Linked DNA regions of Pelodiscus sinensis. The protein of the gene in region 1 interacts with the protein of each later gene in a pairwise test. Links are inferred from orthologs where the notes say so. Each region holds a gene or a part of one and is shown in the gene's direction. Other genes may lie near its edges.

Region 1 (7,680 bases):
CTGCCTGGTTTTGGTCTAAATATGTTAGGGTATGTCTACACTACCCCGCTAGTTCGAACTAGCGGGGTAATGTAGGCATACCGCAATTGCAAATGAAGCCCGGGATTTGAATTTCCTGGGCTTCATTTGCATAAGCGGGCGCCGCCATTTTTAAATCCCCGCTCGTTCGAACCCCGTGCCGCGCAGCAACACGCGGCACGAACGAGGTAGTTCAAACTAGGCTTCCTAGTTCGAACTACCGTTACTCCTCGTGGAATGAGGAGTAACGGTAGTTCGAACTAGGAAGCCTAGTTCGAACTACCTAGTTCGTGCCGCGTGTAGCTGCGCGGCACGGGGTTCGAACGAGCGGGGATTTAAAAATGGCGGCGCCCGCTTATGCAAATGAAGCCCAGGAAATTCAAATCCCGGGCTTCATTTGCAATTGCGGTATGCCTACATTACCCCGCTAGTTCGAACTAGCAGGGTAGTGTAGACATACCCTTATGTAATAGGATGTAGCTGCTGTGGAGATTCTTAACACTAGCAGCTTCCCCGAAGGGGACATTTAGGGATGTGTTTCTAAAATACCCAGACTTCCAACAGAAGGAAAATACAGGGCAGAAAGGAGGTGGCGTATGCGGTGTCTTTTGGGACATACCATGTCTCAGTGAAATGTGAGGCCTGTGTTGTGTATATGCCTTTTGCATGCTGCAGATTTACATTTGTCCCAACATCCAGTTAGCCTCTTTCTACTGATTCCTTTTGGCCTCTTAATGGGTTAGTCACAATGTAGGCCCTATTGCAGTAATCTGAAACAAGACTGAGGTAAAGGCAGTGCGAACAAAACATTTTTAAAGTATAGGTATGTGGGTCTAACACACTATACTCTGACACTTGTGCATATAGACAAAAAATATGTTTCCAAGTGGGTTGTAACCATGATTCACACATGCAAATTAGTCAGGTCACCCAAAGCGTGTTGCTTTTTGAGCACCTGTAAAACTAAGCCTCTGCCTTCCCCCAGTCTACTCTTTTCTAACTACTAGATCCACTTGAAAGACAACAGCCTTAATTTTCCTGTAACACCACTATTTCATGCAAGTAACTGCAGTAGGTCCCACAAGAACATCACGTGCTTGTATGTGAAAAGGGTGCCACCAGTGAGGAATTCTTTGTTAAAATATGGTCTGGATTATGACTAAGTTTGCGAAACCCTTGACTAAGAGAAATAAAACAAGGAAGATCAAAAATAATGCCTCCAAGGGGAAGAGGGTCTCAGACATGCTGAATCAGTTGTGACTCAGGAAATGGCTGCTGGTCTAGTTTACATACAGGTGCCATAGAAATTTAAATATGCAGGTTACGTGTTAACAATTGACAGTTCTTCCTTGCTTCTATATTTTTTGTTACTCTTCACTTACTAAATATCTTATTCTATACTATTTTCCCTCATCACCTTCTGATTTCTGTATTGTAGAACCACATTTCCACTATGTTGATTTATGACTAATATAATGTGTAGTTAACCCAGTGATGGGAAAACTAAGACAGTGAGTAAGCTGCATGAGTGGCCCTCCATCTGAATGAGCAGCAAGATTGTTGTAACCAAGACTGTCTTTCAGGATGGGGTAGTTTTGCTAACTCTGCTCGTGTACCTAGAATTTGTAAAGTATGCCAGTTGAACAATAGCAGCACTTTGACTGGATTGCAGAGGGAGTACATGGCACTCAGTCAATATTTTGTGCAGTTAGTATACCACCTCACTTCATGTGCCTTTGCTTTATGTGCCTGTCACTTTAGTAATACTGGTAGGAGGAAAATTACATGGATGGAAGCCAACAGAATCTGGCAACTCTGCAACAATAAACAAAGTGTGTCATGGGCCACACGTAGAAACCTGATGGGCCATATGTGGCCCACAAACCACAAGCTGTGTATCAGTGAGAACCTGTAATGTTTTTGATTTATCACTCCCAACCAAATTCTAAGCAAATATAATTAAAACATAAAAGCAGAATATTAAAGAAGATTATCATTTAAAACTATGCCAGGTTTATGTAAAAAAAATGCAAATACAGCAGTGTATAAGAAAAAGCCATTGACGTCATCTATCAAGATATTTATAAAGTATTTCATCACAGTGGTTTCTAGGTGCTAAAACAAATTTAAGGGTAGCATGAAATTTTAAATGGCTGAGAACTATGCTGCCTACTAATTCAATTAGTATGGGGATCTCCTGTATGCTCATTTTGCAATGTTCTTTTTTACTGTATCTTTGGCCCTGTCAGGATGGCATATGTAAAGAGAGAGTTCTCAAATCACATTGTGAACACAAAATGCAGGACTATGTAGCACTTTAAAGATTAACAAGATGGTTTATTAGATGATGAGCTTTCGTGAGCCAGACCCACTTCCTCAGATCAAATAGTGGAAGAAAATAGTCACAACCATATATACCAAAGGATACAATTAAAAAAAATGAACACATATGAAAAGGACAAATCTCATTTCAGAACAGAAGAGGGATGTGTGGGGGGGGGGGGGGGCGAAGGAAGGAAGGTAAGTGTCTGTGAATTAATGATATTAGAGGTGGGGAAAGTTAGATGTCTGTGAGCTACCATTACATTTTTTTTAATTGTATCCTTTGGTATATATGGTTGTGACTATTTTCTTCCACTATTTGATCTGAGGAAGTGGGTCTGGCCCACGAAAGCTCATCATCTAATAAACCATCTTGTTAGTCTTTAAAGTGCTACATAGTCCTGCATTTTGCTTCAGCTACACCAGACTTACATGGCTAAATTTCTATTACTACAGGTAGTCCCCGGGTTACGTACCAGATAGGGACTGTAGGTTTGTTCTTAAGTTGAATCTGTATGTAAGTCGGAACTGGCGTCCAGATTCAGCCGCTGCTGAAACTGATCAGTTTCAACAGCGGCTGAATCTGGACGCCAGTTCTGACTTACATACAGATTCAACTTAAGAACCCCAGGCATCCCCAAGTTAGCTGCTGCTGAAACTGATTAGCGGCTGATTCCAGGAAGCCCGGGGCAGGGGCTTCCTGTAGTCAGCCACTGGTCAGTTTCAGCAGCGGCTGACTTGGGGACGCCTGGGGCAGAGCAGCTGGGGTGCTACTGGGTTGGTCCAGTAGCACCAAGGAGCGGTGCTGCGGGACCAACCGGCAGCGCCCCACCTGCTCTACCACAGGCCTGGGGCTTTGCTCCACGTCTTCCTGGTCTGCTGGAGGGGGGAGGGGGACCACTAGCTGCGCCCCCCCCAGCAGACCAGGGACACGGGGAGCAAAGCCGCAGGGGCGGTGGGTCTGCCTCCCCGGCTTTGCTCCAGGTGTCTCTGGTCTGCTGGAGACGGTCCCCAGCAGACCAGAGGCACCGGGAGCAAAGCGGCAGCGGCAGTGGAGTCTCGTGCCTCTGAGGCTTTGCCAGAGCAAAGCCTCAGAGGCGCGGGACCCCTCCGCCTCCCCAGCTTTGCTCCCGGTGTCCCTGGTCTGCTGGAGATGGTCCCCAGCAGACCAGGGGCACCCGGAGCAGCTTTTCTCGCCCCGGAGGTCGAGGTGGCGGGACCGCTGCGCTCTGGGCAGTCCCACTGCCTGCGAGCTCTGGGGCGAGAGAGCCCCGTTCGTAAGTGCGGATCCGACATAAGTCGGATCCACGTAACTCGGCGACTGCCTGTATTGTGAACACAGTGAGGCTTGGAATCATTTAGGGGCAGTGAGTTTTATGGGTTTAAAGCTACACTAATTCAGATAAGTGATTTTGAAACTGAAACTTTTTAAATATAAGTAGCAAATTTCATAATCAGGCAACAACAGAAATCACTGTGTATGGATGCTGCCCTTAATCACATTTGCTTCTGAGCAATTTTTATGGTGCTGATGATGGAAAAAAAATGTTGGTAGTACTTGATGGGCACATACTGACCTTTTACTGGAGAAATACTGAGAAAACTGCTACATAAAGAGAATTTTTTTATTGCTCCACCACAGTCTAGAGACATAACAAGAATGGCACAGCATCTGCTGTGCTGTGCTGTGTTGTGTTGTCAGTAGAGCTAGATGGATGAGACAGGACTGTGGAGTGCAGCTACCTACAAAACATGAATGATAGCTGAAGCCATACCTGCAAACATCTACATAGCTTATTCTGACCTGCATGAATAATTAAGATTAAAATGTTTGTTTAAAAAGCTATTTCTAGTTTCTTTTCTCCCACAGGCCAAATTGGATTCCACAATCTCAAATGTAAAATATAAGCATTTAGATTTCATGTGCAATCTACTAAGTGCAAATTTCAACCTTCTGAAGTTGTAGCTTTCCTCAAATTGAATAAAATCGGGGGAAGAGCTTTTATGGTCAGAGGGAGAGAGAGGGTGTGTGTAAGTAATGCCTAAAACAACACTATGAGCAGCCAAGAGTGAATTGGACACCCTCTGCCTTAGCCTAACATCAGTCACTCAAGCAAAAGGTTGCTTTTTGTCTAGAGAAAAGACTATGGCAGGGGTGGTTATTTTAAATAGGGCTCACAACGCATTGGGATCTGGGCTGAGAACCCTGAATGCAGCAGCGGAATCTCGTCTTCCCTGGGGACCTTTCGGGGGGTGGGTGCCATGGTGAGAGAACTACACTTCCCAGAAGACGTTGCAGCGGGTTCCCACAGCGGGGCATGCTGGGAATTGTAGTTGGAGCAGCCTAGTGAAAGTTAATCCCCGAAGCGGCGTCAGGCAGTTCCCAGAGCTCCTCGGTGTGTCTCATTGTCGTGCCGCCTTGGTCACCTCTAGGGGGAGCGGCGCAAGATGGATGAGTGGGCGGCTGCTGGGGCAGGTGCCCACGGGGTAAGCACATGGGGCACTGCCCCCCAGGGTGCGTGGGGGGGATGATCTACCCGGCACACGAGGGCACCTTGCGCAGTCCCGCGGCTGCCGGTGCAGGCGAGCTCCGCCCCGGGGCTGTGGCTGCCGGGAGGCAGCGCGGCTTGTGTGCCGGGCACAGGGCGTTCTGCAGGGAGCGGCTCAGCAGCGCCGGGAAGGAAAAGGCGCCGCAGGAGCTTCTCCGCCGCTGCCCTTTGAACTGCTTTGTAGCCACTAACAAAGGGCAGGGGCGGGCTGGTTGCGCCGCTTCGCCCTGCCGCGGGGCTTTACTCTCCAGGACGTTTGCGGAGACGGATTTGTGGCTCTAGCTCCCTCCACTCGGCAACCGGGAGAAACAAAACCTGCGGGATCCCCCCTCCCCCACCGGAGCCAAGAAGGGGGGGGGGGGCTGGCTTTACCCTGCTGCCCATCTCGTCCCCCCTCTGCTCCTTCCCCAGAGTCCACTGACTCCCCGCAGTTGACGGAGGGGGCTGCCCTCCCCTTCTGCCCCCCATCTGCACCGGAGCCAAAGTACTGAGAGAGGTGCAGGCTGGCTTCATTCACTCCTCTGCACTCTCTGTATGGCTCCAAAGGAGCTGTCTCCCCCCCCACCCCCCATTGAGAGACGGGATGTCTCCCCTCTCTTCCCCTCCTCTCCTTTTACACACCAGAGAAAGGAGCTGTGGGGTGTGTTTTTGTGGCTGGGGCGCTTGGAGACCTATGTTTAGTTCTTGGCTCTACCACAGATTCCTTTTATGATCGGGGAGGGGGGGGAGGCTGCGGCATTCATTAGTATCTGTGTGTACTAATACAAGAGGAGTGGGGGCATCGATCGGATAGAGGAAAGGACCCCACCTCCAGCTTACTTTATGGCCCAGAGAGAGCCCCCTTCCCCATCACCAAAGTGAGGGACTGTCCTGTTCTACCTGGATCCACAGCTCCAAACCTGTAGCATCTGCATAAAGATTTTGCTCCCTTTCCCTGTCCGCTATGGCCTCATTAAATTTGGAAGAGAGTAAGTGAATCCATATCCCTTGTCTGGGATGTGTTGCGAGGACAAGCTTTTCACTCAGTCTGCAATAATCCCAGCAGAGGCAGTAGGTCTAGTATTCTGCCACTTCCTGCAAATCACATGTAGCTCCACAAATTTATTTCTGTTTTTTAACAAGTGTAGGGATCCTGCTAATCACTGCAGCCATGGGCAGGGTCTGGGCCTAGTGATCTTGGAGGCCAGGCACTGAGGTGATGGCAAATCAGGAGAATATAAAGGTTGGGAGTCTGTCTCTGTTAAACCTATTAAATATCCACTATAAGCCTGACCTTGTAATCCAAGCACAGGGAGGGAATAAATCCCATTAATTTAAGTGAGCATTAAGAGCTAGATCTTGGGTTCTGTGGAAGCATAGCTCATAAAGTGGACTGAAGGTGGGTTTAAACTTTCTATGTTGGGCACAGCCAGGAACAGATAGACCCTTAACATCAGTTGGAGCAGCCCATAGTTCCCACAGCAGTAGCTTCCTAGGATCTGTTCTACTAGTGGATAATGCCTGCTGCACAAGTCTCTCAGTAATGCTCCTTTCTCCTGCAGCTTCCTATATTGGAGGAATCCTCAGCTGCATGGCTTACATATCTCAAAGGGATCAGAGCAGAGACCAAAGTGCGGGGTTTAAACTTCCTCTGTGTCACTTCACATAAATACACATCTGACAAAGCGTTTTTTTAACCAAGAAAGCTTATGCTATGGATGTTAAAAAGTGGTTAATTAGGTAACCATGTAACCACTGAAAATTCTCAGCAGTTACATGATTACACTGCAGGCTCTGCAGTGTAAAGCTTATACTGCAGAGCCCCAAAGCACAACTGGCTCCTTGGGAGCAGAGCTGGCTGGCCCCACTCCTGGGGAGCTGGCAGCGCTGCAGACTTTGCAGTATAAGCTTTAAAATGCAGCCGGCTCCCTGGGCATACTGGCTTTTAAGCCGGCTCCCAGTGCATACTGGCTCCTGCCAGCTGGCCTGCTGCCATCCTGCATTGCAGGCTCTGATACAGAGCGAGCAGCACAGGGTGGCAACCAGCTCCCCAGGAATGGGGCGGAGAACCTGCATGTAACCGTTAACGGTAACTGATAAGCCTAGGCTTATCAGTTTAAATTATGGTACTATTACATCCCTAGCTTCTACACAAATAAATTTGTTAGTCTTTAAGATGCTACAGGACTCCTCATTGTTTTTGCAGATACAGACTAACAGGGCTACCCCTCTGAGATTTCACACACAAAAAATCGGTTTACTCTTAACAAAGATCCTAATTTCAGTCCCAAAATGGTATGAGAGAAACAAGAGATATGACTTTTTTGGGGAAGGAAAGCGTCTGTTTTAATTTTATTTTTATTCCAATATATAATAATAAATGGTAATACCTAGATTTTACTAGCACTTTTCATCAATAGATCTCGAAGTGCTTTAAAGAACAAGTATTAAGAATGCCTGTTGCAGGCTCTGAACAGATAATTAAGAAAACAATCCAATAATGAAAGCAGCAGTGGCAAACCACAAAAAGCTAGTTCATATAACCACAATTTCCACACCCCTCAAATAAAATTCCATACCTCCAGTACAGGCAGTCCCCGACTTACGCGGATCTGACTTACGTCAGATCCGCACTTACGAACGGGGCTTTCTCGCCCCGGAGATTGAGGTGGCAGATTGCTACCTGCGAGCTCCGGGCGAGAAAGCCCCGTTCGTAAGCTGCTCCGGTGCCCCTGGTCTGCTGGAGACCGTCTCCAGCAGACCAGGGACACTGGGCGGGTTCCCGCGCTTCTGAGGCTTTGCTGACCAGCGC
Region 2 (7,745 bases), on another chromosome or scaffold:
GTTTGCCATTTTATTAGAAGGAAAAAAAGGCATGGGTGGATTGCAGTGAAAAAGAAAAAGCAATTATGAAAATATCACACCAACGCAAACAAAAAATCCGAGCATCTCATCTGGATATTACCCCAAGCAGCCCTTACTTGTTCATTTTAGTGCCGGTAACTACCAGGCATGTATTGAGATTCCAGTGGATAAATCTAGAACAGAGGAGCAAGCAGCAGCTCACAGTCTCTCCTTTCCACCTGAGGAATGGAGGCAGTCTATGCCCACCAGGTGAGCCTCCATCCAGGTGATGCTTACTGGTTAACCATTCACATCCCTAATAGATACTTTTAAAGAAAAAGTAAAAGTCACAGAACCTTCAAGTCACAGGACAGGCAGCACAGCTGTGATGTGGAGAAAAGGGAATTCTTTCCACAGGTTAAAAAAAACAATCCACAACTCTGCATTCTCCTCAGCTCTATCAACTATGGCTTGTAACAGTATTAATTTCAACTTTGTTTCAACAGCAGACAACTAGTGTGGAAAGAGATTTAGTAAAGGCACTCCTGGAATATGTGAATATTTTCTTAATCAGATAAAAAAAAAAAAAAAAAAAAAAGGAAACCAAGAGGCAGCGCCCAGGTGAAAGAATTAATCAGTTTAGTAACTTAGCTCTTGGCAGAAGTGTGAGTTGACAGAAGGAACATAATCAACTTCTGCAAGTGACAAAGGTCACTCCCAGCCCAGGGAAGACCCAAGAAGTGTTTTGCTGGTAAAAGACACAAGGGGAAAAAATTTCAAAAAGAAAAAAAAATGAACAAATTGAACAATACTTACAGCTTTTCACTGACTGTCATAATTGAAGACTGATCCTGGCGACTGGCCAAACCTCCCTCCCTTTAATGAAGTTACTATACATCTCGAGGAAACTCCCGTCCTTTGCAAACTTCCACCTAGCAGTAATCTTCCCGTCGCTCTCTGCTTTTTAATGATCTTTCTTACAAAACACTTGCACGTCATACAAGAAAAATCACACCATAGCTGTACAGAGACAAGCTAGATCTTCTCCACCCTCCTCTTTCCCATCCTGTATTAAGTCAGGGAAGGACATTTCTCTTAATGCCCCCTTCAAATCTCCAAAACAAAAACAAAACATAAAAATAAAAAACAACAAACTTTTCAGGTTACTCTCAATTCTGCATGTGTCTCGTAGCCTCTGGAAGCCCCCTGGTTTCATTCTCAGGAGACCACATCAGACACTCCTGGATAAGGCCATGCATGGGTTGTTAAGGCCATGCACTGTCCCAAGGTTGTTCAAAGCTGAGAAAGCTCCCCCTGCCCTCCCCCCAACGTTAACCCAGCCTGCAAAGCAAGCAGTGATCAGCTGTTACTTACCATGCTCCTTGCTATGAAGGCCAGCATAGCCCTGCGTGTGCACCACCCCGGCTACTAACCACTGCCCCCGAGTGAGCAAAGTCCTGTCAACTCAGCAGCCCCGGCCTTGCGAGACACAGAGACAGTTAGCTACAGTGTAACTTCAGCAGCAGCAACCCAGCTACAGCGTAACAAGTCCGCACGGCCGTCCCTGGCTCAGCAGCCGCTGGGGGAGGGCGCAGCAGAGCAGCCATCTTTGTGTGGGGCACAGCCCTCCTCTGCAATGACCAATAAGCAGAGGCGCGACCATCTTTGTGAGGGGCAGGGCTCTGCTCTGCATAGCTCTCTGATGACAGCTGATCCCTGGTCTAAACTAGTGCAGTCATCTCCTCCCTTTCTCAGTTCCTGATCTCAGGAGTTAGGAGGGAGCAGAGATCAGCAGAAGGAATGGCTTCTGAACTAGGACTTGTGCCTGCAGAGAGAGGAATGTGTATTAAGTGAAGATATGACAGCCCCTGCTGATGAGCTGAAAAGTTTAGTCTTTCATTCAGTCTATAGCAGTTCATGCTTTTAGCTCTTCAGTGTTTTGGCCAGGTGGTAGCAGTCACACATGGTCACTCTACTCCACTCCAACCGAACTGCTGTTGGTAAAATCACCTGCTTATCTTGCCACTCTGACCTTACAACTAGGCTTGGCAGGTTTCCACTTCTATGTTTTATAAGTTTTGATCCCTGTGTTTATTTTTAAACATTTCTTTAGATGTGTATCGGAATTCATACTGTTGTGGGAAATTAAAGGGGGAATTAGACAACTATTAGACAATGAAATTCCAAAAGTTAAAGCTTTGTAAACATGAAAGCACTCTGTGCACATCATGTGTCAAAATCCACAAAGTAAATATCTTTAAATCAACAAATCATATCTGTTTTTACTATTCATTTCCGAGACTATTTGTTTAATTCAAAAGTCTAATTTAAAAAATCAATGGATTTTGAATCCAAGTTCTCAAACTGTTTTTCTTACTTTGCATATTGTGCATTTTAGTTATTATTCATGGGAATGTTTTTGTTGGTTGGTTTGTGTGCGTGTGCATGTGCGTGCATGCAGTGAAATAAATGTTTGCTGACATCTACTGACAAACATTTAATTCTTTAAAGCCAATGTATCAGTGATGGGCAACCTTCGTGGACTAGTGGGCCACATAACTAGTGGTGGGCTTGCAGCCCAATAGGGTTCCCGTGAGATGCATGTGGAGTATGGGAGCAGTCTGGGGGGTGCACAGGCCACAGGTGAAACCCCAGTGGGTTGCATGCGGCAATAGGGCTGCAGGTTTCCCACCACTGCTATATATAACCTTTCCCCTCAGCCCACCCAAGCTGTTCAGATCCCTTCCCTGACTTTCTCCTACATTAAACTAATCTCTTCTTCTTCTTCTTCTTCTTCTTCTTCTTCTTCTTCTTCACAACTCTGCACAATGCTACTCTTTAACTATTATTTCTGTTTTCTGTTCCTTCCTATTTCCCCTCTCCCCAGCAGTGTTAACCCATTGGGGGGGTCCTAACCAGAAATATTTGGGGGGCACCACACAAAACACAAACTAATAATTAATAGAGGCCCCCTTGGAGCTGCACAGGGCCCTAAGCAATAGCTTAGTCTGTTTATGCCTAGCACCAGATTAGCCCCTGGGCCTGTAGACTGTGCTCCATCCAGCATTATCCCACTCTTATCTATGCATTTTTCTCTGTGCTATAACTTATGCTTGGGACAGTCTCTTTCTCAGTGCCAAATGTTCTTCCTCTCCTAGGAATCCCTCCTTAAAGCAGATATCCTTCTAGGACATATTTCAAGAATAGTACACCAATAAAAATGGTAAGGGAAAATATGCATGCTACAGGGAGATGAGATCCACAGCCCTGGGTTACATCACAGTGTCTGATGCTGACTTCTAGTGACTTGTAGCAAGAACAATCTCTGCCTTTTGATCCCATACAACACTGACAGTGCTCAACACTGAATTAACAAGAGAGGGGATGAAGATGAAGTAGTTGAACCTGTGTCTGGATTTCCAGACCTCCCACAGTTTAGAGATGTCTTTTTCTCTTCCTTTCTCCCTCCTTTTATAAAGAGGGAAGCTATCTGCTAAATTATGGGCCAAAGCAGGGATTAGGTCTTGGAGAGCATTTGGAACTGGAGTTTTGGTTTATCATATGCAGAACTAGTAGTGGCATCTATAGTTCAGATTACTTTACAATTTCCATTATAAGATAGTTTTCACTTGCTTATAACCATGACAAACTTCAACTATTTGAGCTGAAATGTCCAGTGTTGGGTGTCTGACACACGCTGAATATTTTGGGAAAGTTTCAGCAAAAATGACCACGCCATTTCTGAGACTGAGTTTGGGGGAAAAATACCTTTTTTAGTCCCCATCGATAATTATTTGGCAAGGATCCAGTGGAAACAATATGAAGTGTTCCTGTAATGAAAGACTATAGTTCAGGTGTTCTCAAACTTCATTGCACCATGACCCCCATCTGACACCAAAAATTACTTCATGATCTCAGGAGGGAAATTGATGCCTGAGCCTGAGTCCCACTGCCTTAGGCAAGTGTGTGGGCAAAGTCAGAGCCCTACTGCTTCGGACAGGGTGGTCAAAGCTGAAGCCCAAGGGGCCTGGAACATGAGCCCCACCACCAAAGGTGGAAGCTCTCAGGCTTTGGCCCCGAGAGGTGCAGTTTGGGCTTCAGACCCGGGCCCCAGCAAGTTTGTCAGCCTTGATGATCACCTTAAAATGGAATGGCAACCCACTTGGGGGTCCGTATCCACAGTTTGAGAACTGCTGCTGTAGTGTAACGCAAGCGTGCAAGCAGGCAGAACCTTAATTCTGGAGTTTGTGACTTTGGGCTGCTTGACTTTGAAATCGTGTAAGCTACAAGAATGTAGCTTTTTTCAGCATAACAGAAAAGAGGCTGCCCTTGAAATGGGAATCCGGAGCTGCGTTTGGATTCCCACATGTCACAACTCCAGATGTCAGAGACTCCAGAGTCTGAAGTGTGCTCTGGTTCTGAAGCACACACATCTCCTGATTTTGGGGGTGCCAGATGTGCCATAGCCCATCGCACCTCAGAGGCAGGTGGGGGAGTCTCCTAGCTAGTGAGTTGTGTTCTGCAGGGCTATCTACTTCCCTGGCGCCTGACATTAAGTCAAGCCCCAAAAGTTCCTTAATGAATGCGAGTGCCCCGCACAAACATGGCCGCCTGTGTGTGGAATCCGGAGCGCCCCGCACAAACATGGCCGCCTGGGTATATGTGTGTGGAATCCGGAGCGCCCCGCACAAACATGGCCGACGGAATTACTACGACTGCTTGTGTGCCCCGTGCAATATGGCCGCCGTGCCCGGCACAAGTATGGCCGATCGACGCGTCAGTTGTGCTAAGAGGTTAAAGGTGATAACGGCGGGGAGGGGGCTGGTTCCAGGAAGATGGCAGAGAGCGAGCGGCAGACGGGTAGGGGGGAAGCTCCGCAGGGGGCGGGGGCAGCAGCGTGGTGCTGCACTGGGCAAGGGTGCCCCATAGTGGGTGGGGTTGTGTGGTGCCCAGAGCGGGAGAGGCTGGGTGGTTCCCTCTGTGGGGGCAGGAGATCTCTGTGCCCCATAGGTTGTGTTTGTTGGGGGGTGAGGCTGAGTGATGCTCTCTATGGGGACTGGGTGTCTCTGTGTCCCATGGAATGTGTGGGGGAAGGCTGCATGATGCTTTCTGCACGGGGGTCCTTTCCCCTGTACTGTGAGGGGAAGGGGCATTTGAGCAATGTGCACTGTGCGGGCTGATAGTCTCTGTGCACCAAAATTGCGGGGAGGTCCTGGGCCCTCAAGAGTCTGTGCCCTGAGATGGGAAAGGTGAAGGGGGGGGAGTCTGTAATATAGGGTTCCCTGCTTTTAAGTAGGAATGGGCTCTTGAGGAACGGTTACTGTGCTTTGGAGTCTCAGGGTGTGGGGGAGCAGGTTGCAGTGTCCCTCTCTGTGATGGCCTAGACTGAGAGCCCCAGAAAGATTGATGCTAGTCATGGGGGCAGTTATTCTCCCCTGGCTCACTGGTGAAGACTTAAAAAACAATGGATAGTCCTGCAGCACCTTAGAGACTAACCAAAAATGTAGATGGTATAATGAGCTTTTGTGGGCACAACCCACTTCTTCAGAGGAATGGAGTTAAGGGGTCCAGGGTACAAATAAATAGCAGAGAGAGAGTGGGGATGGGGAGGGAAAGAGAGAGGGGAAAATGGGGGGGAAAATATTGTCAATTAGTGACTATGCTGTATGAGGCTAATAGAGTAGGCTCTAAGTACCTGGTGCTTAGCTTTTGATGTCATTAGGGTGTGGAATGTAGTGGCCCATCCAGTCCAGGTCTTTTTTTAGACCTTGTTTCCAGGTGTCAGACTTATACATTAAACCAAGTTCTGTAGCTTCTTTCTCAATCTGGTTTTTGAAATGGTTTTGTAATAGTCACTTCTAGATCCATTCGTGAGTGCCCAGGCAAGTTAAAATGTTCCCCAATGGGTTTCTGTGTATTAATATTTTGAATATGAAAAAACTTAAAAAACAACAAATAGTCTGGTAGCATTTTAAAGACTAGATTTGTGAAGACTTGTACGGGAAGGAGTAGCTGGTAGCAGGGTCATTAAGGACATAATAGTCCAGTGTTTCTCAACCAGTGGTACGAGTACCCTTAGTGGTACATCAACACAACTGAAATTTGGAGAAAACTGAATTTTTGTTTTAAGTTTTATAGCGCTTTATTATTTTTGTATTTTTTACACCCAAAAATTCCATTGCCTGCCTGGCTATTATTAAGTTGTTTAAACAAATGTGTTGCAATGGTAGAAAAAAAATGGTGTCTGAAAACTGTAGGTACTGGAGGTACTTATAATTTTTAAAGGGTACTTTATGTAAAAATGTTGAGAAACACTGTAATAGTCAATGGTGGCTGTGCTTCTTGGGGGCAGCAGAGGGGATGTGAGGGAAAGGTGGTTTACTGAAGTTGTAGTTGGCACCTTGGACCTGTCTGTCACCTGCTGTTGCCTTGGGCAGCTGCTATTCTAGGGATAGATTTCGGTCCTTTTGCTGCTGCTGTTGTTAATTCTCCCCAGAGCACTGTTCCTTCGCTCTTGCCTAAAAGTTGTTGTGTGTATATTACGGTAGCTCATTTTGTGCTAGGTGCAATACTACAGCTAGCAAGAGACAGTCTTTGCCCCAGAGGCCTTGCTTTCTAAATAAGAGGTGTGTTGGAGGGGGGTTAGGGAGCACAGAAAGAGAAAGTGATTTGCTCAGTAATGGCAGAACTGGGATCATAGCTTGGGCCTCCTGAGTCCCTGTCTAGTGGCTTATCCCCAGACCGCACTGTCTCTGAATCTTCCTCTGCCCTCTTACGGGTGATCAATATTCTTGGTAGCCAAAGCTTTCCTTCATCAGTGTACTGGGGGGTTCATTGAACTTTCTGTTTATTATCATTGATTTTAAAGCATTTAAAAAAAAACTTTTACACTAATGCAATATTTCTGGATACAAATAAAATTCCACATGCACTCTAACATGCAGGGGGAAATTAAGGGACAGAGAAGTTAAATGACTTTCCTAAGGCAGCACACTGAAGCTGTGGCAGAGCTTGGAATGGAATAGTTTTGATTCCTAGTCATCTGGTGTGATTCTAGAGAGTGCGCCCTTCCTGGAAAAAAAGGAAGAACTGAGAACACTTTTGGGCAGTATTATCTGGGCAAGTCATTATAAATGTTAAGCTTTTGTTAGAAAGTGATGTTTTAGAATTTGCTGTTAGTGCTAAGAATTTTTATTGAAGACAGTGTTGTCTCAGTGCTTGATGTTGGACAAAAGATTTGAAATCTTCTAGGGCTGAAAGTATTAATTGAGGATATTTCATGCTAAATATCCTCTTGGTTTTCTGGTTCATGGTTGTTTGCTGTATTGCATCTTGATTTTAAGCTTGCTTATGGAAACATAGTGCAAATGTGCCTTTAACCTTGTGGCAGTGTTTCCAGCTCTGCAGTGTCCTCGCATGGGACTGCAGGCTGAGACTAGAACCAGTTGTTCACCTTGGACTGCAGAGGACTTGGGAAAGGAGTGACCCTTATATTGGGATTTATTTTCTTTTTGTGAAAGCTCACCGAAAAGAGGCTTCTGGCTAAGTGTGTACCCGAGTGGGGAAGCAGGAATGTTGCTGATGTTATGCATGAATTATTTGCATTTATATTGTGCCTGCCATCCCAGGATCTCAAAGTGCTTTACAAAGAGCCTCAATTCTGTCCCACAGTTAAAAGATGGTACTTCCCAGCCTTACCCTAAATCCAACCTAGGGACAGTGGCACAGTACTGAGAGAAGAGTGC

What was found.
Region 2: the proteins of AMOT (region 1) and PTPA interact in binary tests that used the Homo sapiens proteins (3 or more experiments, as listed by UniProt). The two-hybrid records come from large-scale screens. The link is inferred for Pelodiscus sinensis from reciprocal best matches to the Homo sapiens genes AMOT and PTPA.

The regions. Positions count from the first base shown.
Region 1 is NC_134723.1:26,614,397-26,622,076, forward strand, and holds the start of AMOT (angiomotin), read left to right. Parts: upstream 1-4,676; 5' UTR 4,677-4,827; intron 4,828-7,680.
Region 2 is NC_134732.1:12,143,445-12,151,189, forward strand, and holds the start of PTPA (serine/threonine-protein phosphatase 2A activator), read left to right. Parts: upstream 1-4,737; 5' UTR 4,738-4,835; coding exon 4,836-4,860; intron 4,861-7,745. UniProt on the Homo sapiens protein: PPIases accelerate the folding of proteins. It catalyzes the cis-trans isomerization of proline imidic peptide bonds in oligopeptides. Acts as a regulatory subunit for serine/threonine-protein phosphatase 2A (PP2A).